Linked DNA regions of Nothobranchius furzeri. The protein of the gene in region 1 purifies or fractionates together with the protein of each later gene. This does not show direct contact. Links are inferred from orthologs where the notes say so. Each region holds a gene or a part of one and is shown on either strand. Other genes may lie near its edges.

What was found.
Region 2: the proteins of scap (region 1) and srebf1 purify together in Homo sapiens (affinity purification with western blotting; 4 studies listed by BioGRID and IntAct, with this or other methods). This does not show direct contact. The link is inferred for Nothobranchius furzeri from reciprocal best matches to the Homo sapiens genes SCAP and SREBF1.
Region 3: the proteins of scap (region 1) and srebf2 purify together in Homo sapiens (affinity purification with western blotting; 3 studies listed by BioGRID and IntAct, with this or other methods). This does not show direct contact. The link is inferred for Nothobranchius furzeri from reciprocal best matches to the Homo sapiens genes SCAP and SREBF2.

Annotation. Positions count from the first base shown.
Region 1 is NC_091745.1:65,122,918-65,131,358, forward strand, and holds the start of scap (sterol regulatory element-binding protein cleavage-activating protein), read left to right. Parts: upstream 1-2,997; 5' UTR 2,998-3,225; coding exon 3,226-3,401; intron 3,402-6,951; coding exon 6,952-7,152; intron 7,153-8,441. UniProt on the Homo sapiens protein: Escort protein required for cholesterol as well as lipid homeostasis.
Region 2 is NC_091752.1:55,497,913-55,506,152, reverse strand, and holds the start of srebf1 (sterol regulatory element-binding protein 1), read left to right. Parts: upstream 1-2,523; 5' UTR 2,524-2,902; coding exon 2,903-3,008; intron 3,009-4,532; coding exon 4,533-5,096; intron 5,097-8,240.
Region 3 is NC_091752.1:67,061,888-67,070,422, reverse strand, and holds the start of srebf2 (sterol regulatory element-binding protein 2), read left to right. Parts: upstream 1-2,818; 5' UTR 2,819-7,894; coding exon 7,895-7,985; intron 7,986-8,535. Other genes in the region: uncharacterized protein, read left to right, coding at 1-1,391.

The sequences.
Region 1 (8,441 bases):
CTCCATTCCTTATAATTAAAAAGGACTTTTTACTTACTCTGGTGTTGATTTCTGCTTTTTGCTTGTTTTGACAGAGGATGCATTTTTTTCTAGATGCAACATAATTGTCTTTGCAGCAAGCTGATAAATAAAGTGCTTTAATTACACAGCTGGTTTTTGTAAAAGCAAAAAATAACAAACTGAGAGGTGGTTTGAGACTTGGACGGTGTTGTAAAAAAGTAAGAAAATAAAGATTTCTGAGGCAAATTTTAGGCTCAATCTGTGAAGTGCAACTTTATTTTACTAAAAGTCTGTAGCTGCAGGTCTGGAACCCAGTGAGGGCCTATAGCTGCTCCATAGTGGCTTTTTGCAACGTTGACCAAGGATGACATTAACTGGTACAATTATATTTAGGTTTGCTGGGACAGGTTAGCTTTAGCAGTTCTTCAATACACTTGTTTGCAATGCATGCATGGAATTCATGCATCTGACTGTTGCCTGTTGGGCTCTGTTTTTTTCTACTAAATAATAAATACTGTAATTTTAGTACCAGTAACATAGTTTGAATTTAAAACAGCTCTACAAAGTCCTAAAGAATACCTTGAATAAAACAATTTAGGCATTTCGTTTTTGCCAAACACTGGAGTGAGTTTGTTTGTTATAGAATAAAAATATAAATCTGTTTTAAAGGTTGAGAAGATTTAATAACTCACTTCAAATTATCTTTGGGAGAGATGAATAGAATGGAGGCATAATGGAAAACTAAACATGTTGTAACAGTTTGCGTCCAGCAGGGGTCACTTATTCTCTCTTCTCTACGTTGGAGGTGTGAGAGGTCGAAGCGAAGAAGTCTGATTTGACAACCTCAAGCTGTAGTAGTTTTGTTTCTGCCTGTCACCGTCTGACCTGAGGATTTCACCTGCACAGTTTTTATTTAATAAGCACAAATAAAGCTGGTGACCATCAGTTCACCCGAGAAGATCACAGTGATTTTAAAATTTTGAGGAATCCTGAAGTTCGTCCTGGTAAGTGTCTACAGAAAGGCTATTCTCCTGCTAGCATTAGCTGCTTTAGCGTAGTGGGAAGCATGATGGTTGGTGATGTATTAATCCATTTTTAAACTACAGCTTCTGATTTTCGTTGCTTTTATTAGGTTCCTGTTCTTTTTTAGTTACGGTTCACACAAATTCCAAACTTCCCTGATATTTTTAACTTTGTCACATTAACTCTTACTTGGCTAACGAAGGCGCAATTGTTATTTTTTTTAATTTTCATCTATTGTCAGAAGTCTTTTAAAAAATATTTTCTATTGCAGCTTTGGCAGCTAGGCTCTTCTATGTTATTACTTTCCATTTCACTAACATATATTTAAGTTAAATGCCTATTAAATGGATCACATGTTCGCCAAGAAGCTAACAAAGCTAGCCTTGTTTGCTTTTAGTGTTAGCTTTTAGCTAGGCGTACTAAAAGGCTAAATTGTACTTCTAAGAAGGTAAAACACGGGATAAAAACTTTATTTTTTGTCGTATTAGTAGTGACATGAATAATATATGACGTACATTGTTCGTGTTGCCATACAGACAACGAATTTTCTCCCATTTATGTGCTCGAGTCAAAAAAACCTGTGTTGTATAACATTCTCTTTTGTTGCTAACTATTTGCTAAACTGCAGAAACTAAGTGCTATAAATTAAACATTTAATTGATTTATATTCTCTAGATAGATCGTTTCCCTCATTTTAAAAGTTTAACTGTTGGATTTTTACCACAAAATAGAGGAAAAATGTAGAAACCGTTGGGATGCTCTGTTATGATCGATTTCGCATGTGTGAATAAAAGTGGCTCTTGATGGTTTTGATCTGGGCATGTCTGTCATGCTTACCGTTGTTTGTTACTTGAGAGGTGATGTTGCAACATGGTTGCATCAGCCCCACCATCCCTATTTGTGCTTTGCATCTTGGGAAAATCTATTTTATGGTTTAGATCGTAAATGCACAGGGGGGTGACATTTATGAATAGCAAAAGACTATGTACTTCCTTGCATCTGCACACTCACTGTGATAGGCATAAACTGTGGCTTTTTCTGTCTCATTGAAATATTTGGTCAGAAAGGAGGAAGTCTTGTGGAAAGAGCCAGCCATCTTTAGTTATTACAACACGGTTACTGATTAACAGAAGTTTTCTCTGTTCTGTCATTGGCTCTGGTTGTAAATGACAGTTACAAGTTCATTCAAAGTGAGGTTGGTGCTGCTTTTACAACTGTACTAATATCTACAGATTAGCAGCACGTGCTTCATCGTTATGTAACTGTGTCGCTGGGTTTTGAAGCAGTTACACTAAGAAGAATGGATGCAGTCTAAAGATCTGTGGAATGTTTTGAGATAGTGGTTTTTGGCTCCGCTACGCTGATAATGTCTCTGGGATCTGTGAAGCCTGGAGAGGCTTTCAAGTTTGGTATTTTAGCAAAAACTGAAAAGAGGTAAGCCTTTTGCTTTTGGGGTTGTATTTCTTTTTTGCTCCAAATTTCTCATTCTTGCTTTCTTATTTATCTTATATCATTCTTGCTATCTTGAAAATGTATTTTTAAGTAAGCTAGGTTTCTATGGGACTGCTCTTTTTTTCGCCCTCATCCACAGTGGGCCAACAAATCCCACAAGAATAGATTTTCCCGAATGGTCACTGATCACCTGCCAGAATGGCTGAAAGGAGCTCAGATTCACCGCACTGTGGCTGCTGCGTACAAACACTAAATTCTTGGCTGCTGTTCATTTTCCGCTCCGATTGAGAAGTGCTGTAAGACTCCTCCAACCTTGCTATGCTTTTAATGCATGAAAGACTGAAGTGTGTGACCACGGGAGGAGGAGGGAATCAATGGGAGGTGGCCTCAAGACCTCTATCCTGTTCGTTGAGTTTCCGATCAGTTCAATCCCAGATTAGTTTACTGACGGAGATGCTGCTGATCCTTTGCCAAATCAGGCCTTCCAGCTGCACCCACATAACCCTGGAGAGTACAGCAAACTGGACAAACAGACCAGAGATGGAGACTTTCATCCAGAGTTTTTTAAACGAATGCTCGGCTAAACCGTGAGCGAGGCAAGAACCTGGGTCAGAGGCGCCGGCACTGAAAAGGCTTGACTTCAAACAACCTTTGTGAAGTCTTTGTGGACGCTTGTTGTAGCTTTGTTTACTGTAAAGCATATTTATAACAGCAGATCAAGAGACTCCTGAGGAGAGTTCCTCCCAGGGAATGTTTCCGTCGCTCCCGGGAGGACAAGCCAAGCAGTCGTGCACTCTGCCTGAGCCAAGAAGGGAACACTATGTCAACTGTAATGCACAAGTTAGGCTAAAAAACCCCTGCACTGCTGCCTTCAGAGGACGTAAACAGGTGGCATCCCGAGAGACAACCTGGTCTCCCATCAGCAGGTACAGTGGTGTTGTGACTGACACGGGGGCTGCTGTGTTGGGGCATGCTTGACATGTTGGCTTGTACAGCTTAGTGACATCACAGACAGGAAAATGATTAAGTAGGATCATGAATAAAACACTACTAATGCCATGCAACAGCAGCAAACGCTGCAGCAGCAACTCCGTCTGTTAGCTCAGCGGACGTGAGACGAGCTGAGATTGAGTTGGCGTGGGGAAGCGGAACGGACATTTGTGTTTGATGTGAGGCGAACTGCCCTCAAGGCACAGATTTCAAACAACGTCGGAGCTCATGTATAGATATCAGTGTTCAGTTTGTTCTCAAGCAGGGAGGGATGTTTGTGGAAAGGGTGATTTCCACAAGTGACATCGAGTTATCAGTTGTCACATGTTTTTAGGCGGTATGATGCTCTTTCCAAACAAGCATCATTTATGAGTAGTTGATTTAGAGAATCTCAAAGATCAGAAATGCTGAAAACGTGGCAACAGTTGAAAAAGTGCAGGCCTGCCGTAGCTCCAGACGGAGCTCTTCAATCAGGGTTGATCAAAGCTGCCCATTAGCATAGCTAATGGAGAAACAACAGAGACAGACAGATTGATGCTTGATTCAAAGCTTTTGCGCAAAAATATTCCTTTAAAGGTCTCATCCATTCATTTTTTTCTATTAATCTGCCGTGGTTTCTATTAATAAATCTTAGTGAGTCGTTTTCTATGGAAATGATCTGACGCTCCTGTTACAGGAAGTAGAAGTTTGTCGGAGGAGTGATTTTCCAACATGCCTTGCAAGTCGTTTTCTGTGGAGAGAGGTTTTGGTGTTCCTGTTTTGGGGTTGGAAGTTTGGCAGAAGAGTGGGACGAGAGGGTCTTGTTCATTATTATTCATGATATGCGAACATCTCGCCTCTGATTGGCTAACGGCACCACAGCTTTTCTTCTGCCTTTGTTCGCTTTTTCTTTCTTGGGTAAAAAAAAAGCAACATTGGTGTTTTATCTCCACAAATAACACACACCTGATTGTGTTCTCCCATGTTGAGTTGCTAGTGGTTAGCTTATACTAGGCGAGATGCTGTCCGCTGTTTCCTTCTTGTGTAAGCCAATGTGGGCCGGGTCACAAACACTAATTTTCTCTGTGACATAGAAGCAATCTGCCTTTTCCTATCAGATCATTTCATGTCTCTTTCTTTTCTGTGACAAATGCAGATGATGGGGATTGGAGAACATTTTCACATTCAGCATGCATGAGTGACCAATCGCCTTTCTGAAAGAACAATTTTAAACAGTTTCTTGGGGAAGCAGACCTTAAAAATCTTTTTTTTTTTTTGTTTGTGAATTGTATTAAAATTGTTTCTCTGTGAGAAACAGAAATTACCAAGTGATCAAATGCCCGAGTCGGCATGTATGCAAAACCTCTGCCTCCGTGCTTTTTCACCTTCATGTAAATAACCCCTGTCTTCTTTGAAAGGAAGCAGCATGAAAGCTGGTTTTTTCCCCCCAGGCGTGATCAGTTAAATTTGGATATTTCCTTTAGCGGGAATGTGCCCACACCTTTTGGATCTCTGAAAGAGCTGTGTGTCTTAAGTGGTGTGTAGCATGCAATGGCAGTAGAAACCACTCTGGAGGAAAAATGCAGCATGTCTTTATTCATGGTGTGTGTGGTGGATGGAGTAAGTCAAGTCATCTTTATTTATATAGCACTTTATAACAGCATAAAAGCTGACCAAAGTGCTTAACAAGACAAAATGAACAGAATTTCCTCAAAAATTCTAAAAACAAGATAAAAAGTTAATCACAAGGTAAAATCATGATAAAACAAACATATCAAACTGACATAAAAGCTACTAAAAACAGATGCATTCTCAAACTGAATTAAAAGCAACTGAGAACAGATGAGTCTTTAAGAGGGATTTAAAACCCGACAGTGATGAAACCATCCTAATCTGAATCGGGAGTGCATTCCACAACCTTGGAGCTGCTACTGAGAAAGCTCTATCACCCCTGAGCTTTCTCTTTGTTCTCGGCACCTCCAGGAGAAACTGGTCGGCTGACCTCAGTGACCGAGACGGGGAGAAAGTTACTAAAAGCTCACACAGATACTGCGGAGCAAGGCCATGTACAGCTCTAAAAGCCAATAAAAGAACCTTGTACTGGACCCTATAAACCACAGGCAGCCAGTGCAGCGAAGCTAAAATTGGGGTGATGTGCTCCCTCTTTCTCGAACCCGTCAATAGGCGTGCTGCTGCATTTTAGTAAATAAAGATAAGTCTTAGCTTTAGAGATTTAGTACTATATTTACTTTGACAAGAGGCTCCATGAAGCTTATCTCTGATTCGTGTCGCATAAAAAACTTTATAATTTGACAGGATGTCCACAACTCAAATGTATTGTTTTATTTTATTTAAAAGCTGTGGAGCTTTTAGATTAAATCTTTCAAAACTTTCTGGGTTCAATACGCAGTCTTGATAGTTTTTGAAGGGATATTCCACTCCTGAGTGAAATTTAGTTTGTGGCCACATTGCTCAGAGTTACCCCTCTATTTCACGCTGGAACCATCAGAAGTATGAATGGCGACGGAACTTCGCTGCTTCAAATTGAGTCCATTTTAGTTTATGGGGTGATTCAAACCGGCAACTTTCAGGCGCGTCCAGAAGCCCCACGCATTGCTAAAGATAGGATTGGGTTCAATTTTTGCCACGAGCCGCTTCTGGGACACCTTCAAATTCTGCAGTTAACATAGGTAGATAGGAAATCACACAGTTTTGGTGTAAAATCCCTGCTAATTTTCAAAATAAATGTACTGCAGCGATGCAATTATATATATATATATATATATATAGCTTCCATGTGACCCAACAACTTATTAACTCCCTGCATCGTTCGAGAAATGCAGCGGTGTGTCTTTCATGGCATTAATCGTGGCAGTGGAGAGGAACATAATATATCAAACAGCGATATCAAATGTGATTTCTTTTTTTTATTTTTTGGTTTAAGAGCGGATAACAAACAAACCATTGACCTTTGAAGTCTAGAGGGATTTTGGGATCTCACAAGTCCAGCGAGGAAGCTGTTCTGTAGCCAAGACTCTCGGTGTGTACTGGACCGCATTGAAACTCGCGAGTAAGCTGTTATGGGCCGCTGATGCTTCCCGTGTGAAATAGGGGTTAGATGAGTGGGAAAGGCATTTTGTAGCCAGCACAGTCATGGTAAGTTGCACTGAAGGTACATGACAGACTGGTGTTGAAATGCTGTCCCATGTCTAGGGTTTTGTGCAAAGGATCTAACATGTTAAGAATAATAATGCATAAATAATATAAAAATAAAGTGTTAATACTAACATAAAAATAACGGCATAGAATTATCATTGTTTTTCATAGAATATCTTCATATTTTTAGATTTTTTTCCCTAGTTTCCTACAAAACAACAGAGAATCAGAGACACAAACATTATTGACCAGACGGTTGATCAGGCACTTAAAGGGTTAAAACATCTGCTTTTGTTTATGGCTATAATTCTGTGAGGTCATTAAAATGATTTCCATAATTTTTGTCTCAAGGTCCCTGGATGCTCTGCGGCGCTCCGTCCTCGGCCGCCCAGTTCTTCCCAATGGCCGGGAGTTGACCACGCCCACAAGGATGACGCTGCGCGAGCAGCTGAGAAAGAAGATCTCGGCGGCCTTCTACCGCCACGGGCTGCTGTGTGCCTCCTACCCAGTACCCATCATCCTCTTCACCTCCGCCAGCATCCTCACCTGCTGGTTAGTCTCTACTGGTGGATTTGTTTCTTCCATCCACGTTGGATTTTTAAGGAGTCAAATAATGTTTCATTCCCTGCAGTAGGATTTTGTCATTCTGGTCAAATTAGTTCTGTTCCAACAAAAGCATACCCTCATTTGTTCCATCTTACTAAATAAACTGTAAAATCAAGTCGACTCAGGTCATCCAGTTCAGGCACACTGAGCTTCACAGAATTAATGAAAAAACGGGTTCAGTTCAAGGCCATCTGCACGCAAACACACACACACACACTCACAAAACAGTTCCCTGCTGACACCGCCACACAAACGCTCACTTAACATGTGCACACACAGTCTCTGCTCTTGTTGAATTTGCTAAGTCACTAGTCTACAGAGGGGGGCATAGGTCAGAGACTTGGCTGGGCAACAATCAGCAACAATCTCAGATCTGAAACACACATGTACACCTGCTGTGTGCTGTCCTGTAAGCTCATTACAGCTGGGGTGATGGCCGAATGGACGACTGACCACCCGTGGGGGACTGTCTGCGGGTTGGTTAAAGGCAGGACCGGGGCACAGGGCTGTGAGAAAGTGGCCCTGTGAGAATGGGATGCCTGTCTCTTCATCTGCTTGTCAGGAGGGGGGCTGGTGAAAACAAAAGAAGCTTTTGTGGAGGTACAGTGACCTAGGAGAGCGGAGGAGGCTGGGGAAAGCATGGAGAGAGAGAGAGAGAGAGAGAGAGAGAGAGAGAGGGAGAGAGAGAGAGAGAGAGCGAGAGAGAGAGAGAGAGAGAGAGAGAGAGAGAGAGAGAGAGAGAGAGAGAGAGCGAGAGAGAGAGAGAGCGAGAGAGAGAGGGAGGAAGGGGGTAGAGGTTTCTATTCAATAGACAAGCACACGTTAAACGGGGGAGAAATATTTGTACATGAGTACAAATGAATATTTAGCCGATAATTAACAACACTGATTCATCGTATGGGCCATTCACAATAAGGAATATTGTGTGGCTGTATTTGTTGACTTGGCTAAAGCCTTTGACTCTGTGGACCATAACACCTTAGCAGGCTCAAACATAAAAGGACTGTCTCAGGCCTCCATGGCATGGTTTAGAAGTTGCCTTAAGCCGTACGCAGTGAGAACTGAGGGTTACCAATCTGCTCCTCTACCTCCATCTATGGGCGTTCTTCAAGGGTCGATACTGGGCCCTACCTTATTCAAAATCTATATTGATAACTATTGACAGTTCTCATACATTTATATGCGGACGACACTATTTTATATTTATGCAGTCCTTCCTTGAACACAGCTTTGTC
Region 2 (8,240 bases), on another chromosome or scaffold:
GCTTATAATTGCAATTATTTTCAAGAATATCCGATTTATCAGCAAAAAATAGGACTTTAACAATTAATATGATTTCAAATATAATTAAAACCGCATAAGATAATGGGTCAGATTTTTTTTAAGTTGGGCTGTTTTAAAACATTATTAGCGATTTATGTCTTACCTGTTGTAAATCGAGTTTTGAACAACCTGGATTTGGAAAACCAAAGATGAGTTCGGATCAGACGAGCTAACGGCTAGTTGCAAAATGGATTACAGCAATCCTTAAGGACTCCAATCGTAAGACGTTCACAACTTTGATACAAATGCTAAAACTTAGCTAACTACAGTGCTACAGCTAGCTAGCTCAGTCGCTAATTTTTCACCCCCAAATAACAGTGTAATGTAAAATCAATTCCAATGGTTCCTAAAGCTTTTAGATTTATGATCCACAAAATTACAATGAAAAGGTTTGCAAGTTTGCACGCATTGGTATAGTAAAAACATAAACAGATCCCATTCATATTTGAATTTTTGTTTTTATTTTTCACATGCATAATAGTGAAAATAATAAATTAGGAATTGATTTTTTTTTACAGAAAATTTCAAGGAATTAAGTTTTGTGGCCCACAGTTGGATTCCAACTCCAAATTTGGTCTCAAATTATTCTGACTAGCCATTTGCCTATCAGTTCAATCAGAAGTAATCTCCATTTCTCCAAACCGGGGCTGATCAAAGACAACAGATACAATATTAAATGTTCACACACTTCAAAAGATCAAACTATCCCTCTAAAGGACTAAACATACACATTATAGTGATCCACGGTTATAGAGTGGTTTAGTAGATCCACTCCCACTTTCCTTTAAAAAGCAGCTGAAAACTCACTTGTTTAAAGTGGCTTTTGTATGACCTTCTTCACCCTCTCTCTTTATTCTGCTCTCCCCACCTATTCCACCTTCCTCAGGATCCACTGATTTCCCTCTTTCCTATTCACTCTCTCATTCTTAACATTTTTTTAATCACAATTGTCTATTTTTTTGCTCATTAAAATATATTTTTAAACATTTTCTAAATTCTTTTTTTTATATTTTTACATTTTTTGTTTTTGTGAAGCGCCTCGTGATTTTTATCTTGAGAGGCGCTATAGAAATTATATTTTCCTCCTCCTCTTCTTCTCTTCTGCATTATACCTCTAACTTAACCCTCCCACTGTCCTCAGAGGTGACCCCACCAGGAAAGTTGACCATTGAGCAGGGTTGATGGTTTATTCCTTGAGGTCCACGTGGAAGGGGTGAGGAGTGAGCACCACCTCACAATTTGTCTTTAGTGTCCACCAAATCACACGTAGAACCCAAAAACATTTCTGTTCATTTTAATAGTGGATCCGACCTAAATGTCCATAAGCATTTATGAAACCTGAATTGAAAATGTGGACCAGTTGTCAGTATGGACCTTCCATTAGAGGGAAATATAGATGCAAAATGTCATCAAATGAATGTGTGTTTATGTAATCGTAATAAATATGTATTTTAGTTCAGGAAATGTGTTATTATTGAGCTTTACCTTAACGCTAACGTTATATACGGTTACATAATGTTTAATATGGTTGTTAATATGCCCGTTTTATGATTTTAAAGCTCTTATAAGTCATAAAGCACAACTACAGATACTAAATTGAGATAATTTAACATCTGGCTGTATTTCCTGTCTCTCCTACGAGTCTGTGACCGTGTTGTTTTGCTATTACTTAACAAAGGTTTTGGTTTTCTGAAAGTACTGAATGGCAGGGTGTTCAGACAAGGTTTGGACATGGAAAACTTGAAGCCAGATTCCTGTTCTTGGAAAATGTCATGTCTGTCTGCTGCCTGCCATCACTGATGTATGGTCAGATCTGTGTTTGACCTCATGCACGTGTGTAAAGGCCCAATAAAACACTAGCATTGTGTGACCTCTACCTCATAACTCTGTTATTATTGAAGCTTCTTAATGCTCACGCTGATGCAACCCTGCTTCAGTCTCTCAGTACAACGGGCATTTGTAGTCATGTGAGCTTTTCAACCCACCCCAACACAATGCATGGAGGCTTTATTAATATTGTGTTAATTATTTATTGATATTTTGTTTATTTTTCTGCTAATACAAGTTTCTCCAGTATAACTGTGCTGCTTCCACTTGTCCACTTTTGCGACAGAAACACATGATGTAATCACCGAACGCAGTGCTATGATGTCAGATCACCCCACTCGGTTTCTCAGCCTCTGGTTGGACGATTCTACTGGTTCTACAGGAGGAGCTTATTCTTCGAGTCAAACAAACAAACATACTGTTGGCAGGTCCCGCCTACTTTACTCTCGTTGGCTGTTTAGGAAGGCAAGCCCATAAAAACATATCCTTGCAGTTTCACTTCATAATGTTCATTTAGGTAAATACGTGTGTGTGAAGGTTGATATGATAGTATGCGAATGATTAAAAATAATATTAATTCAAGAAAAGAGCCCAATAATCGATGGATTAGGGATTTCCTTTTGCCTCCAGCGGTTTCCTGAATAACCAAAACAATCATGTGAAAAGAGGACGTGGGAATCCACTTCCAAGCTACTGATTGGCTGGCTTATGTGTCAATCATTGATGGGGCCGGACAGTTCTCTGCGGCTTCTGCCTTACGGCAGCACGTTAGTACTGAAGTGCTGAATGAGCTTCAGTGTTTGGCTCGGTTTGACAAGTTTCCCAAAGCTCAATATGGAGTTTAGATGTTAGTTAACGTATTGGTTGAAAGTTAAAGCGTATTTACATGTCTTTCAGGAAGACCTGGACCTCAAGGTTTTATCTAATGTAGGGACGAGGAAAGTTGAGGACTTTTTCCCTTTTCTGTGCGATCAACCTGCAAGTGAAGTCTGGAAAAGCAGACACACGAGTGAAGATGAATCGCTTGTCTTTTGACGATTCTTCGTTGGATCACCTGGATCCAACACTATCGCTTCATGATCCGAGTGATATAGATACGGCCCTTTTAAGCGATATTGATGGTAAGAAGAAATAATTGTAGCTCTTGAAATACGTGGCTAAAGTAATAATGCTGCTGGTACTTCTCTTGCATGGCATATATATTTACGTTTTCTGCGTCATGCAAGCCCTTGTTGAACACAGAATCATCAACTCGGAGCATTTTTACACTTGCTATCATTAGCCATTTAGCTAGTCCGCTTGTTTAGGAGCTAACTGAAGCAGCCACTAGACCTCCTGTTGGCTTTATTTGTTATTATACAGTGCAAACGCCGTAGTTCTAACCGAACTGTAAAATAGTTATTATTATTACTATAATTCAGAGCGAATTAGCTTTGAGGTTAACGTGTCCGCCCCGCCCCCAGCATGCTCGCTCGGAGGTTACTGTCGTTCATTCCTCTCGGTTCAGCTACCTCAATTGACCGAATTCTCAGTTGCGTTATATTTGTCCCAAATTCATAATAAGTTGCTTTTATGTGCTTTAAACGTCCATGTTTTGGTTTATTTCTGTTTTAAAAACATTATCTTATTAAAATTGTTGATGAGCAAGCAGTGCTGCTGTCAGGAGAGTGGACTTTAACAGATATTTATTATTAATAATACTTTGTAAAGAATCTTGGTGTGTGTTTAGTCATATCCTAAACAACAACGTGTAATGTGAAAAGTGGTATTTTAGCTAAACACATCCCGCTGGCCAGTTTTGTACACCTGACCGAGAATAACCTTTCGGTGATGTTGCTCGATAGTAACCTCTCGCTGTCTTGGTCTGAGTTTGAGAGCTGTGCTCTGATTGGCTGAGAGCGATCACCTCATACACAACACCGGTTTACAAATGCAGCCTCCTGCCTTACACAGCAGACATACATAACACGCACGCACGCGCGCGCATATTTTCAAAGCTTCTGATAATTATTTTCTCCCAGCAATTCCCACTGAAGGCATATTCTTGGGAAATATTTAAAAAATAATATGATTTTTATGATTATTTTCATATCTTTTACATTTTCTGCTGCTGCAGAAATGCTTGAATGTTAATTTGATGAATTTTCTTTTGATTTTCATACTAAGGTGTAGTGTTTATAATTTTCATGTAATTTTCTATTGTTTGGCTTTAACATTCATAAGAGTGCAGGAACAAACATGTAAACAATTCGTAACAAAATAAAAACCGGTAAATAAATAAAACTATTGGTTTTATTTATTTGGTATTTTGTCCACTTTAGACTCCGTGTCTGTTTTTTTCCAGGGATAAAATCTGAACTAAGTTAAATGTTTACCAGGATGTTGGATTCTAACTTGATGTTTATCCACTTGGGCTTGACATTTGACCAGTTGCAGCTTCATTTGCTGCAGACCTGAGTGAGGTTTTCTGTTCTCCTTTTACCTTTAGACCAGCCTTTGAGTGTAATCTCTGATCTGTCTGAACTGAAATCTTGTATATTTAAACCCAGTAAGAATAAATAATGCATAATCTAGATTTGAATGTAGGGAATCGGTTGTATACACTGAGAAATATTTTTCTAATTTAGATAACATTTTCTCTGCAGACATGCTTAATCTCATCAACAACCAAGACATGGAGTTTAGTGGACTCTTTGATCCAGGTCCCTTCACTGGAGGCCCCCCCACCCAAGAGATTGCTCCCTTGACCCAGCTGATCACCCCCGCGGCTCCTCCAGCTACCACCACCACACCTGCACCTACATCTTCCATCCTAAGCAGTAACCCCCACCTCGATGCTCTTTTGGGCCCTCCTATCACCCGTAGCTCCTCCACCCCAGACAAGACCTTTCAGCCTCCCACCTTTCAGCAGTCTCCTGTATCCCAGGTACCCAGCTCCTCCCCAAGGCCGCAGCCATCCCCCCCTCCACAAACTCAGGGCCTCAGGCAGCCTCAGGTGGAGCCTCCCCAGCCCTCTATCAGTCCTCCCACCCCTGCTCAGGCAGCTTCTCCTCTTGGATCACCAGGACCAAGTCCGTCATTCACCTCCACGACACAGCCTCTTTTCACCCTCGTTGCACCACAGACTCCACCTCAGATGCAGACACCACCTCAGACGCAGACACCACCTCAGGCACAGAGCAGCAATAAGAGCCAAATTACCTACACAGGTATGTATTCTTTTACGATAACGAGCAGTTTTTCAAGCTTAAAAATAAAATGCAAGAAATAGATCATGTTGTGCTTTACAATCAAAACAAGAGAGAAATAAATGTGCAGTGCAGAGCTAATCCACAGGAGTTCAAGCAAAAGCTGGTCTGAAGAAATGGTTTAGAGTTGCTTTTTAAAGGAGTTCACTGATCTGAGTCTCAGAAGGAGAGAAATAGTTACTGTAAGGTCATTTCTAGGGTCTGTGTGGCTTTAGACTCTCAATAAGACCCTTAAACCTTTTTGCAGGTGAGATGATTTAAATATCACCTGAATCAGGCCGCTAGGTTTTTCAACCTGGGCTGATGACACATCTGGTGTAATCGATCTGAGCGTATTCAGCAGGTTGCCTCTGCAGCGCGTGTCTACAGAATGGCTCAAAGAGCAGCACAGAGTCTGACTCGAAGATGTTCTCCCAGTCCAGCGCCAGCCTAATGGGAGGTCATGTTTGTCCCAAGCAGTAAATGTTTATTAGTACATGACAAATCACCCACCACGATTCAGTATTTAAAGTGCAATGGTTATCCACGCTGGATTTGATAAGAACTGCAAGATGACTTCATGAATATCGTTATCAGGAATGCAAAAGTAGGTAAAAGGTCACCAGTTTACCTGCTAACCTACTGACAAAAAGGCCTGTGCGACATCTATATAGGTCTGATGGTTCATAAAATGGGAGTTTTTAGTATCTGGATGAATCTAAATTTGTAAATTTTTTAATCTTTTTTTTTTAACTAATTAAGATTACTGTAGATTTTTTTGCCTCTTTCAGTCAGTCCTATAATTTAGGGATGAAAGTGCTGATGTCATTCTGCTGCTTTACTTTTACGTTTTGTTACAGCAAACCATCTAGCAGGTGTGCAAAGTAATGAATGAAATTTACTCGCGTTACTGTAATTGAGTAGCTTTTTTGTGTATTTCAGTCTGTCCTTTTACTTGCATATTTTTTAAAGAACTTTGCTACATTTTCAATCATATGTGTTACTGAGTAAAAAAAGGGGCTTAATAATAAATAAAAATTGTTGAGCAGCGTCGAAACAGAAAGAGAGACACCCTCACGTGCGCAGCGTCAGGACTTTTAACAGCCACACTTTTCCCACAGTTTTGCTCAGAAACATCAGTCCGGTCCCTGTGATGATCTTGCTGTTTACCCCTTTCTGCCTCCCTCTCCTGTTGGTTGAAACCAACCCACACCTTTGTGCACCGGTGTTACGTCAGTATTCTGCTTGGTTTGGTAGCTGGACTCGGTTTAGCCTTTGAAATGTGTTTCTCCAACTGCTCATGGCAGTGGCAAAAGAACGTTTAGCGCTGATAAGCTGATTCCCAGTGCTTTACTTATAGAACAGGAAACTTGCAGCCTCTGTGAGTTTAAACATCTTGCTTTCTGCAAACACTGCTGCTAACCACTTAAACATTCTCACTCTCCTGGTAATAACATTTTACTTTCTTTGACATGGAATGTGCTGCTACTAGTTTACCTGTTGAATGAGAGTTGGGCAATAAGTCGAAAATTCATCGTTATCGAAATTTCTGACTCTTATCGTGATCATTTTTCCCATGTCAATAAATTTGATAATAAAAAATTGAAAAGATTTGTGTAGGTTGGCAACACTCATGTCCCTTTAATTCAGTTCAATTGATTGCTGTAGTAGCTCAGAATTAGGGCTGCACAATATATCGAAAAATTATCGTCATCGCAATAACAGGACGTGTGATAGGCCCATCGCAAAACACGGCAAAAACAGCGATGAATGTTTGGTTCAAACATTTCCATCCGTGTCACACATCAGCATTTTGTAAACCAGCTCTGTTTTTTATGCGGAAGTATTATTTGACCAATCAAATGTAGTCCTTCTGATATGCGGCCAATCAGATGGGTCCGTTCACGTAATACGCCTGCCCCCTACATAGACCCTTTTGGAAAGCAACACCTGAACAGAATTAGCGGCGCTGTTCCCTTGTTCGTCATGCTGGCTCAGAGCAACGAACGCACTTTGTGCTGATGTTTCTCAATCAATCAATCAATCAATCAAAGCTTTATTTAGTTTCTGCTTTCAAACGTGAACGTGACTCTGCTCGGTGTCATTAATCATTTTTACCGGGCTGACTCCGACACGTGCCGGTGAACCAACCCACCTCCCATGTCGCTAGTGTTAGCCCCAGGCTCTGGTTAGCTTCCTGCTAAAAGGCTACAGCACTCTCTTCCCAGTCCCACCCTGCTAAAGAGGGCCTGGAAAAGTTCCCCCACACATCAAAGTGATTTTTCATTTATGAGTTTTTATAACCTTGTTAATCAGGATAGTTGATTTGCTGCTGCACATAAACTGTCAGTCAGAAGCTCTGCTAGCCGGTTATCTTAGAGGAGCTAGTTCAATTTGTTAGCTTGTTATCAGAATCATAGTTGCAGTTTCATCATCTGAGCTGCTTTTTAAGATCTAGGTAAACTTGTTCAATTTGGGGTTAAAACCAAATGTTTTCACATGTTTTGCCAGTTCCTCTTCTGAAAGGTAGACAATTGTTTTTCTCTTTCCCTCAAAAAATCTTAATATTCTTCTAGTTTGGCCCAGCACAGTTCACTTCCCAATTACAGCAACAGCCTTATATCAGAACCACATAAGTGGAGAAAATGTTCAGTAGCAATGAGAGAATTTGCTGTTGCATTTAAGTGATGTTAACTATTATTTAACATTTAAACTTATTTTCTGATTTTTTTATTTATTCTAAAATACCTGGTAAGGGATGTTTTTCTGTATTTGGAGCATCAGAAAAAGTTTTATGGTGGTGGTGATGTTTTAAAGTCACTGAGAAACTGCATGCATGCAGTTTGTTGTTTTGCTGCTAATACAGTAGCAGGTGCAGCTGCATATTTTTGCAATAAAAATGTTATGTTGTAATTAAATTCATGCATTAGTTTTAGTTTGCTTTGAACCCAGAGCAGACGTCACACGCCAGACGACATCAACACTGCATAATTTAGTATTTGTTCATTTATCGCGAGTAATATCGATATTGCAATATTAAGCACTGTTATCGAATATCACACAGGGTATCCGCGGGTCCTTAAAAAGTCTTAAAAAGTCTTAAATTAGCTTTTCCAAATTTAAGGC
Region 3 (8,535 bases), on another chromosome or scaffold:
ACCAGGCTGTCAGCCAGCTGACCTGCATATTTGGAGAAGAAGCTGTCCGTCGTCACACGGTGGTCCTTTTTACCAGGGGGGACGACCTTGAGGGAACTGGGATTGAGGAATATGTAAGAGAAACGGCCCCTGCCGGTCTTAAAGCTCTGATCGACAGGTGTGGAGGCAGATACCACGTGTTCAACAACAAAGACCCGAATAACTCCATGCAGGTTAAATGGCTGTTGAGGAAGGTGGATGCAATGGTGCAGCAGAATACCGGGAGGTTTTATACTAATGCAATGTTTTTAGAGGCAGAGGCCGCCATCACAGAGGAGCTGAGGGAGCGAGGCCAAGCCGAGGGGGAGGAAGACCAGGTTAAAGTTGTAAAACGAAGAAAGTGTGACTTGGAGTCCAGTGGAGGAGATTTTAGAGTCGAGAGGTGGAGTGAGGAGAGTAGGAGGAGCGCCTTCGGCCTCCTGCGTGACCGGTTCAGGGGGAGGCGTCAGGGTGTTGGCAGGCGGCACTCTCTCCGCCTGTCCCTGAGTCGTTTGAGGAGGGAAGCTGCACTCTCTGCCAAGGTGCTGAACAGAGTTAAGATCCTGGTGGTGGCTGGAGCAACGGGCATGGCGGTCGGCGCCGTGTTTGGGGCAGCTGCCCCTTTAGCCGCTGCAGCAGGGGCGTCCCTAGTAGGAAACTCCGTATCCTTTGCAGCAGGGCAGTTAGCCGGGATGTCGGCAGCAGGAGGCATGGGTGTCGGGAAAGCGGTAGGAGCCGTAGTGGCTGCAGCTTCTGGAAAAACAGCCGTGGCCCTTGGTGCAGCAACGGGTGGAGTTTTAGGTGGTTCTGTGGGAGCTGTTGCTGGTGCTGAGGCTGCTAGTCCTCAGGAGGGCGCTTTAGATGCCCTGGGCCAGGTTGGTGCCATAGGTGGGTCTGCTGTGGGAGTGGCAGCATGTGTGGGCTGTGCCCTGGGAGCTGGTGCTGCTTTTAGCTCAGCAGCTCTCCTCGCAGCAGAACCTGTAGCTCAGGGGACTTTAGCTTTAGCAGCACCGCAGCACGCCGTGGCCTCGGCTGCTGCAGGAGCTGGACCTCCTCAGTGTGCTGCAGCTTTAGCTCAGGCGGTGGCTACGCATGCCCCAGTGGTGGCTGGATCAACAGGGGCTGTTTGTGATCCATCAGGGCCTGTGGTGTCCTCGTTGACCCGGGGGGCTGTTTCAGACCACTGGGGCACCGTGGCAGTAACTACTCGTATCTTGAGCGCTGTGGCTGAGATTGGGAAAGCTGCAGCAGGCATTGCTCTGGCGGGTGGTCTGGTAGTGAAGGTGGTGAAGGAGAAAGTGAGATCTGGAACAGGTGCGACGGAAGCCAGCTACTCGGAAAAGAAGTCCTGTGAGATTTATTGGAACAGATAAAAGTTAAAGGCCATATGTGTCCTTTAACAGCTTTTCTGTTGAAATATTCAAATAAAGACATCCACATAATCTGATGCGCTGTAAACCCGACCAGGTCAAACATCACATTAAAAGTGTTTGAAGCTGTTCATGGCTGCTGTGGCATTTAATCTTAAGTATTTTGTTTTTAGGGAGGAGATAACCACAGATGTCTTCTAAATTCACTGTTGAATTAAATCTCATGCTAAAGGTTGTCACATGGGTTTGGAGGGAAGCATTTAGTCACAATTCAAACAAAAAAAGGGTAAAATGATGATAATAAAGATGTGGTTAACAGTGTTGGGAGTAACGCGGTGCAAATGTAATTAATTACTGTAACGCATTGCTTTTTGCTGTAATGTGGTAATAAGGCATTACAGGGAAAGAAAATGGTCATATTTACTCGGTACAATTGTCAGAAACACAGTAATTACAATGCATTTTTAAATCCAGAAGCAAGTTGTGGGTTTCTTCAAAATTCAAATTGCGGGAAGGCCAGGAAAGATCCAGTATCTACATATATGACGTCATTTATGGACTCAGAGTTGCGGGCATCCTATGAGCAGAGAGGACGCAGCGGTAATGGCTCCTGCATTCACAAAATGGCTCCACCAAAACAAAATAATTAATTTGCGATCGTTCATATCAGCCCATATTCTCTGGTGCTTTCTGTACTTTTCTGACGTGCTTTGCCTCAGCTGAGTTCATAATCTGCGCCCCGGTGATTTGAACTCATTGCTGCTGGAGCGCAGCACATATTAAAGAGCAAGTCACCCCCAAATCAACTTTTTTTTCTGATAAACTACATAAATGTGTGTCTAATCGTGCTGCAGACACGTGTAGTCAATAGTTTTGCACTTTAGTGCATTTTAGTTAAAATTTAAATTTTCTGCCTAAAACTGTCAGTGTTGTGCCGTTGTCAGGTAAAAACTCTGCACTGCATTTGAATTTAAATCTGCCATCGCTATTGGCTAAGAGGTACCCTAGAACGTTAGCTGGTACCATATGATGTCACAATGTCGTTGTGAGCCTGTGTGTGTGTGTGTGTTAGCGACTCTGCTCTCTCGGTCTGCTAGGCAACAGCATTTGTTGCATTTTTCAAACAGGAAGTGGGAGTGGGGTAATACTCTGATAGGGGGTGACTTGCTCTTTAAAGAGGGCCGAATTCGTCAACCGCATTTGAAGGAGTCTTCGAATTGGGACAGGCCTGGTCGCGGCACTGTGAGGTAAACGGCCGACGAAGGATGCAGACCCTGAATTGAGACACAGGCTCACGACAGCATTGTGACATCATAATGTACCAGTTTACATCATAGCATACCTCTTAGCCAATAGCTGTGGCAGATTTAAATTAAAATACAGTGCAGAGTTTTTACCTGACAACGGCACAACACTGCCAGTTTTAGGCAGAACATTTAAATTTTAACTAAGGTGCACTGAAGTGCCAAATTATTGACTACACGTGTCTGCAGCACGATTAGACGCTCATTTATTTAGTTTATCAGCAAAAAAAAGTTTTTTTGGGGGTGACTTGCTCTTTAAGCTTTTTTTGCATTCGGTAGATCCCTTGGCTGATTAGGTAGAAAGTAGGAAACTGATTTTCTGGAAGACGGAGAAAAGATGCAGCATGCAGGAAGGTTAGAGAGAGAGAGGGCCAGAAATCATTCAAATAAAATCAAGAAAATAAAAAAAAGTGCTTGAAAAGAAAAAAAAAGTAAGTAGATTTATCCCCAATACACATTTTTACCACTCCATCCATCCATCCATTTTCATCTGCTTATCCGGAGTCACGTCGCAGGGGCGGTAGCCTAAGTCGAGAGGCCCAGACTTCCCTCTCCCCATCCACTTGGGCCAGCTCTTCCGGGGGAATCCCAAGGCGTTCCCTGGCCAGGCAAGAGACATAGTCCCTCCAACGTGTCCTGGGTCTCCCTTTAGGTCTCCTCCCGGTTGGACGTGCCCAGAAAACCTCACCAGGGAGGCGTCCAGGAGGCATCCTGACCAGATGCCTGAGCCACCTCAACTGGCTCGTCTCGATGTGGAGGAGCAGCGGGTCTGCTCCAAGCCCTTCCCGGATGGCCGAGCTTTTCACCCTATCTCTAAGGGAGAGCCCAGCCATTCTGTGGAGAAAACTCATTTCGGCTGCTTGTATCCGCGATCTCGTTCTTTTGGTCACTACCCAAACCTCATGACGATAGGTGAGGGTAGGAACGTAGATCGACCGGTAAATCGAAAGCTTTGCCTTGACTCAGCTCTCTCTCCACCACGACAGACCGGTAAAACGCCCGCATCACTCCAGATGCAGCACCAATCTGCCTATCGATCTCACGCTCCAGTTTTCCCTCATTCATGAACTCCTCCACTTGGGGCAGGACCTCATCCCTGACCCGGAGAAGGCGTTCTACCCTTTTCCGAATCAAGACCATGGTCTCAGCTTTAGAGGAGCTGGTTCTTATCCCAGCTGCTTCACACTCTGCTGTGAGCCGCTCTAGCGAAAGCTGAAGATCACGTTCTGATGAAGCCAACAGGACCACATCATCTGCAAATCATCTGATCCTCAGGCGACCAGAACGGATCCCCTCCATACCTTGGTTGCACCTAGAAATCCTGTCCATAAAGGTTATGAACAGAATCGGTGACAAACGAAAGCCTTGGCGGAGTCTAAATGATAAATGACCCGCACTTCTATAGTGCCTCTCAGAGTAAGGACTCCAAAGTGCTTTACACTACAGTGTATCATTCATACATTCACACACTGATAGTGATGAGCTACAATGTAGCCACAGCTGCCCTGGGGCACACTGACAGAGGTGAGGCTGCCGAGCACAAGTGCCACCAGTCCCTCCGACCACCACCAGCAGGCAAGGTGGGTTAAGTGTCTTGCCCAAGGACACAACAGCAGAATTCTCTGTGCGGAGCCGGGATCGAACCTGCAACCTTCCGATTACTGGACAACCTGTTGAGCTACTGCTGCCCACTGGGAACGAGCCCGACTTACTGCCGGCAATGCGGACCAAGCTCTTGACACCGGTCATACAGGGACCTAACAGCCCGTATCAGAGGACCCGGTACTCCATACTGCTGGTGTACCCCCCAAAGGGCCCCCCGAGGGACACGTTCAAATGCCTTCTCCAAATCCACAAAACACATGTAGACTGGTTGGGCAAATTCCCACGCACCCTCCAGGATCTCCCTAAGGGTATAGAGCTGGCCCAGTGTTCCACGGCCAGGACGAAAACCACATTGCTCCTCCTGAATCTGAGGTTCAACAATCCGACGGACCCTCCTCTCCAGAAACCCTGAATAGACCTTACCAGGAAGGCTCAGGAGTGTGATCCCCCTGTAGATGGAACACACCCTGCGGTCCCCCCTTTTAAATAAGGGGACCACCACCCCAGTCTGCCATTCCAGTGTGCCTACCCCAATGTGTACGTGATATTGCAGAGCCGCGTCAGCCACCACAGCCCCACAACATCCAGAGCCTTAAGGAACTCCGGGCAGATCTCATCCACCCCTGGAGCCTTGCCACAGAGGAGCTTTTTAACCACCTCAGTGACCTCAGCACCAGAGACTTGAGAGGCCAACCCAAAGTCCCCAGACTCTGCTTCCTCACTGGAAGACGTGTTGGTGGGATTGAGGAGGTCTTCGAAGTACTCTGCTCACCGATCCACAACGTCCTGAGTAGAGGTCAGCAGCACACCATCCCCACTATAGATAGTGTTGGTAGCGCACTGCTTTCCCCCCCTGAGGCTCTGGATGGTGGACCAAAATCTCCTCGAAGCCATGTGGAAGTCTTGCTCCATGATCTCACCGAACTCCTCCCATGCCCAGGTTTTTGCCTTGGCGACCACCCGAGCCACGTTCCGCTTGGACTGCCGGTACCTGTCAGCTGCCTCTGGAGTCCCACAGGCCAAAAAGACCTGATAGGACTCTTTCTTGCTTGACAGCATCCCTGGGTTCAGGGGTTGCCAGAACGACAGACACCGACGATCCTGCGACCACAGCTCCGGTCGGCCGCCTCAACAATGGAGGCACGGAACAGGGTCCATTCAGACTCAATGTCCCCCGCCTTCCCCGGAACATTTTGGAAGTTCTGTCAAGAGGTGGGAATTGAAGCTCCTTCTGACAGGAGACTCTGCCAGACGTTCCCAGCAGACTCTTGAGATACGTTTGGGCCTGCCTGGTCTGACCGGCATCCTCCCCCACCATCTGAGCCAACTCACCACCAGGTAGTGGTCAGTTGACAACTCCGCCCCCTCTTCACCCGAGTGTCCAAGACATGCGGCCGCAGGTCAGATGAAACAACAACAAAGTCGATCATCGAGCTGCGGCCTAAGGTATCCTGGTGCCAAGAGCACATATGGACACCTTTATGTCTGAACATGGTGTTCTTATTGACACTCCATGACTGGCACAGAAGTCCAATAACAAAACACCACTCGAATTCAGATCGGGGGGGCCGTTCCTCCCAACCACACCTCTCCAGGTCTGTCGTTGCCTACGTGAGCATTAAAGTCCCCCAGCAGAACGAGGGAGTCACCGGAAGGAGCGCTTTCCAGCACCCCCTCCAAGGTCTCCAAAAAGGGTGAGTAGTCTGAACTGTAGTTTGGTGCGTAAGCACAGACCACAGTCAGAACCCGTCCCCCCACACGTAGGCGGAGGGTGGCTACCCTCTCATTCACTGGGGTAAACCCCAACATACAGGCACCAAGATGGGGGGCAACCAGTATGCCCACCCTTGCTCGGCGCCTCTCAGTGGGAGCAACTCCATAGTGGTACAAAGTCCAACCCCTCTCAAGGAAACTGGTTCCAGAGCCATGCGTTGAAGTGAGTCCAACCATATCTAGTCAGAACCTCTCAACCTCAGGCTCCTTTCCCACCAGAGAGGTGTCATTCCATGTGCCAAGAGCCAGCTTCTGTAGCCGAGGATCAGACCGCCAAGGTCCCCGCCCTCGACTACCACCCGTCACACACTGCACCCGACCCCTTTGGCCCCTCCCACGAGTGGTGAGTCCATGGGAAGGGGGACTTATGTTTCCTCTTCGGGCTGTGCCCAGCCAGGCTCCATGGGTGAAAGCCCGGCCACCAGGCGCTCGCCAACGTGCCCCACCTCCAGGCCTGGCTCTAGAGGGGGGCCTCGATGACCCACGTCCGGGCGAGGGAACACGGTTTCCATTTATATAATTCATCATAAGAGGTCTTTGGGCTGCTCTTTGTCTGATCCCTCACCTAGGACCTGTTTGCCATGGGTGACCCTACCACAGGCAGAAAGCCTCAGACAACTTGGCTCCTAGGATCATTGAGACACTCAAACCCCTCCACCACGGTAAGGTGGCAGCCCAGGGAGAGGAAAACTTAAATTTTAACTAAAATGCACTAAAGTGCTAAACTATTGACTACACGTGTCTGCAGCACGATTAAACATGCATTTATATCGTTTATCAGAAAAAAAATGTTGATTTGGGGGTGACTTGCTTTTTAACCAGCACAATAACATGAGTTGTTTTTCTTGAATGATGTGCTAACATGATGAGCTTTATTGCTGCAAAAATTTAGAAAATGGGCAAAAAGGCTGAAGAATTGAAAGTGTTTTAAATGCTAATGGCTAGCTTTGAGTGTACTGTTTCAAATCCTGTAAAATGTGTTCATTTAACATCTTACAAGAACAAGCGTGTTATTTTTGCTCTTAAAATTGCCGTAAAGCTTTAAAATCTAATTCCATGTTTGCTTTTATCGAGTGTTATATGTTTCGATGATAAAACGCTTGTTTTATTTTAAAAAAATGATAATACGTATTTGTAGTTTTGTTTTTGCTGCAATAAATTAAAAGAATCAACACCTTTAAGTATGAAGTTTTTTTCTGTGCCACTTTTACAAGAAACGTGATGATGTTTTTATGTTGATAAATATTGATGCGTGTTTAAACATTCGTTAAATTGCTTTTGTTTATTATATCCTTGGGCTTTGCCTTAGATAATTTAAATGAACATTCTATTAAATAACGTGGAGCTAATACGTGTTGTTTTCACACTCATCCTTGTGATCAGCCTCGTGAGGTATTTGTAAAATGATGGAGGGGCGGTTTTCAAATGACACACCAGCTTCTGATGCTTGACGTACTATCAGACCACAGTGAATGCGACATTCTCATTGGACGAAGACGACTGGTCTCATGACAAGAACGGCCGAGTTTTAACCAATCAGGCGGCTTCTTGGGCCACAGCTTTCGATTGTGAATGACGTAATTAGCGTAAAACAAGATGGCGTCGCCATGGCAATTAATCAGTGAAGATGAGTTTATCGGCGTAAATGTCTGCCTCTCTTGAGGCTTTGGTGTCGTTTTAAGGTTATTCCGGTAAAAGTCGGGATTTTAATTCGGATACGTTCGTTGTTAGCTTCGGGGAAAGGCGGAAGTGGAGGCTAGTGGTGTGTTTTAGTCCTCGCGACCCTCCTGTGACAGTTGGAGACGCGAGTCGCTGACAAACAGGATGGACACCGGAGAGTACATCAGCCCGATGGAGACCATGGACCCGACTTTAGCAGAGCTAGGGGACGAATTCACTTTGGGAGACATCGATGGTGAGTTGACCTCTCTGCCTGCGCGGTTTGTTGTTGTTTTCCTGAGAGTTTGGCTTGTTTCCATGTAGGAGCCCGTCTAAGCTAGTCTACATTAAAGGTTTATTTATTTAGCCGCTAACATGCTAGCCCAATAGTTTGTGTTGCTTAAATGTGTTCGTCCTTTTGCTGCATGCATCTATGTTGCTTTGTGTGATGATTGGAGTTCATTTGTGGTGATTTATGTTTATTATCAGCCATCTGTGAGGTTGAAATTGCTTCTTGGTGACTATGTTTACAGACTCTCGTCCCTTTTTCTATGAAGCAAAAGCGAACGGCAAGAAGCGCGTCCCGTGTCCGGAGGCAACAGATGTTTCATGTGGGACTTTTGTTTTCAAATATTAAAACGTAGAATAGTTTCTCTGTTCTTGTTTTATCCAACATTAAATTAAGACAATATTCTATTTTATATAACTTCAAACATGACATCTGAAACCTGATGTTAAAATATTTTAAGAAATCTGATCGTAGTTCTTTAGACTATGTTTACCCTTTGACATTTTAATCTGTACCT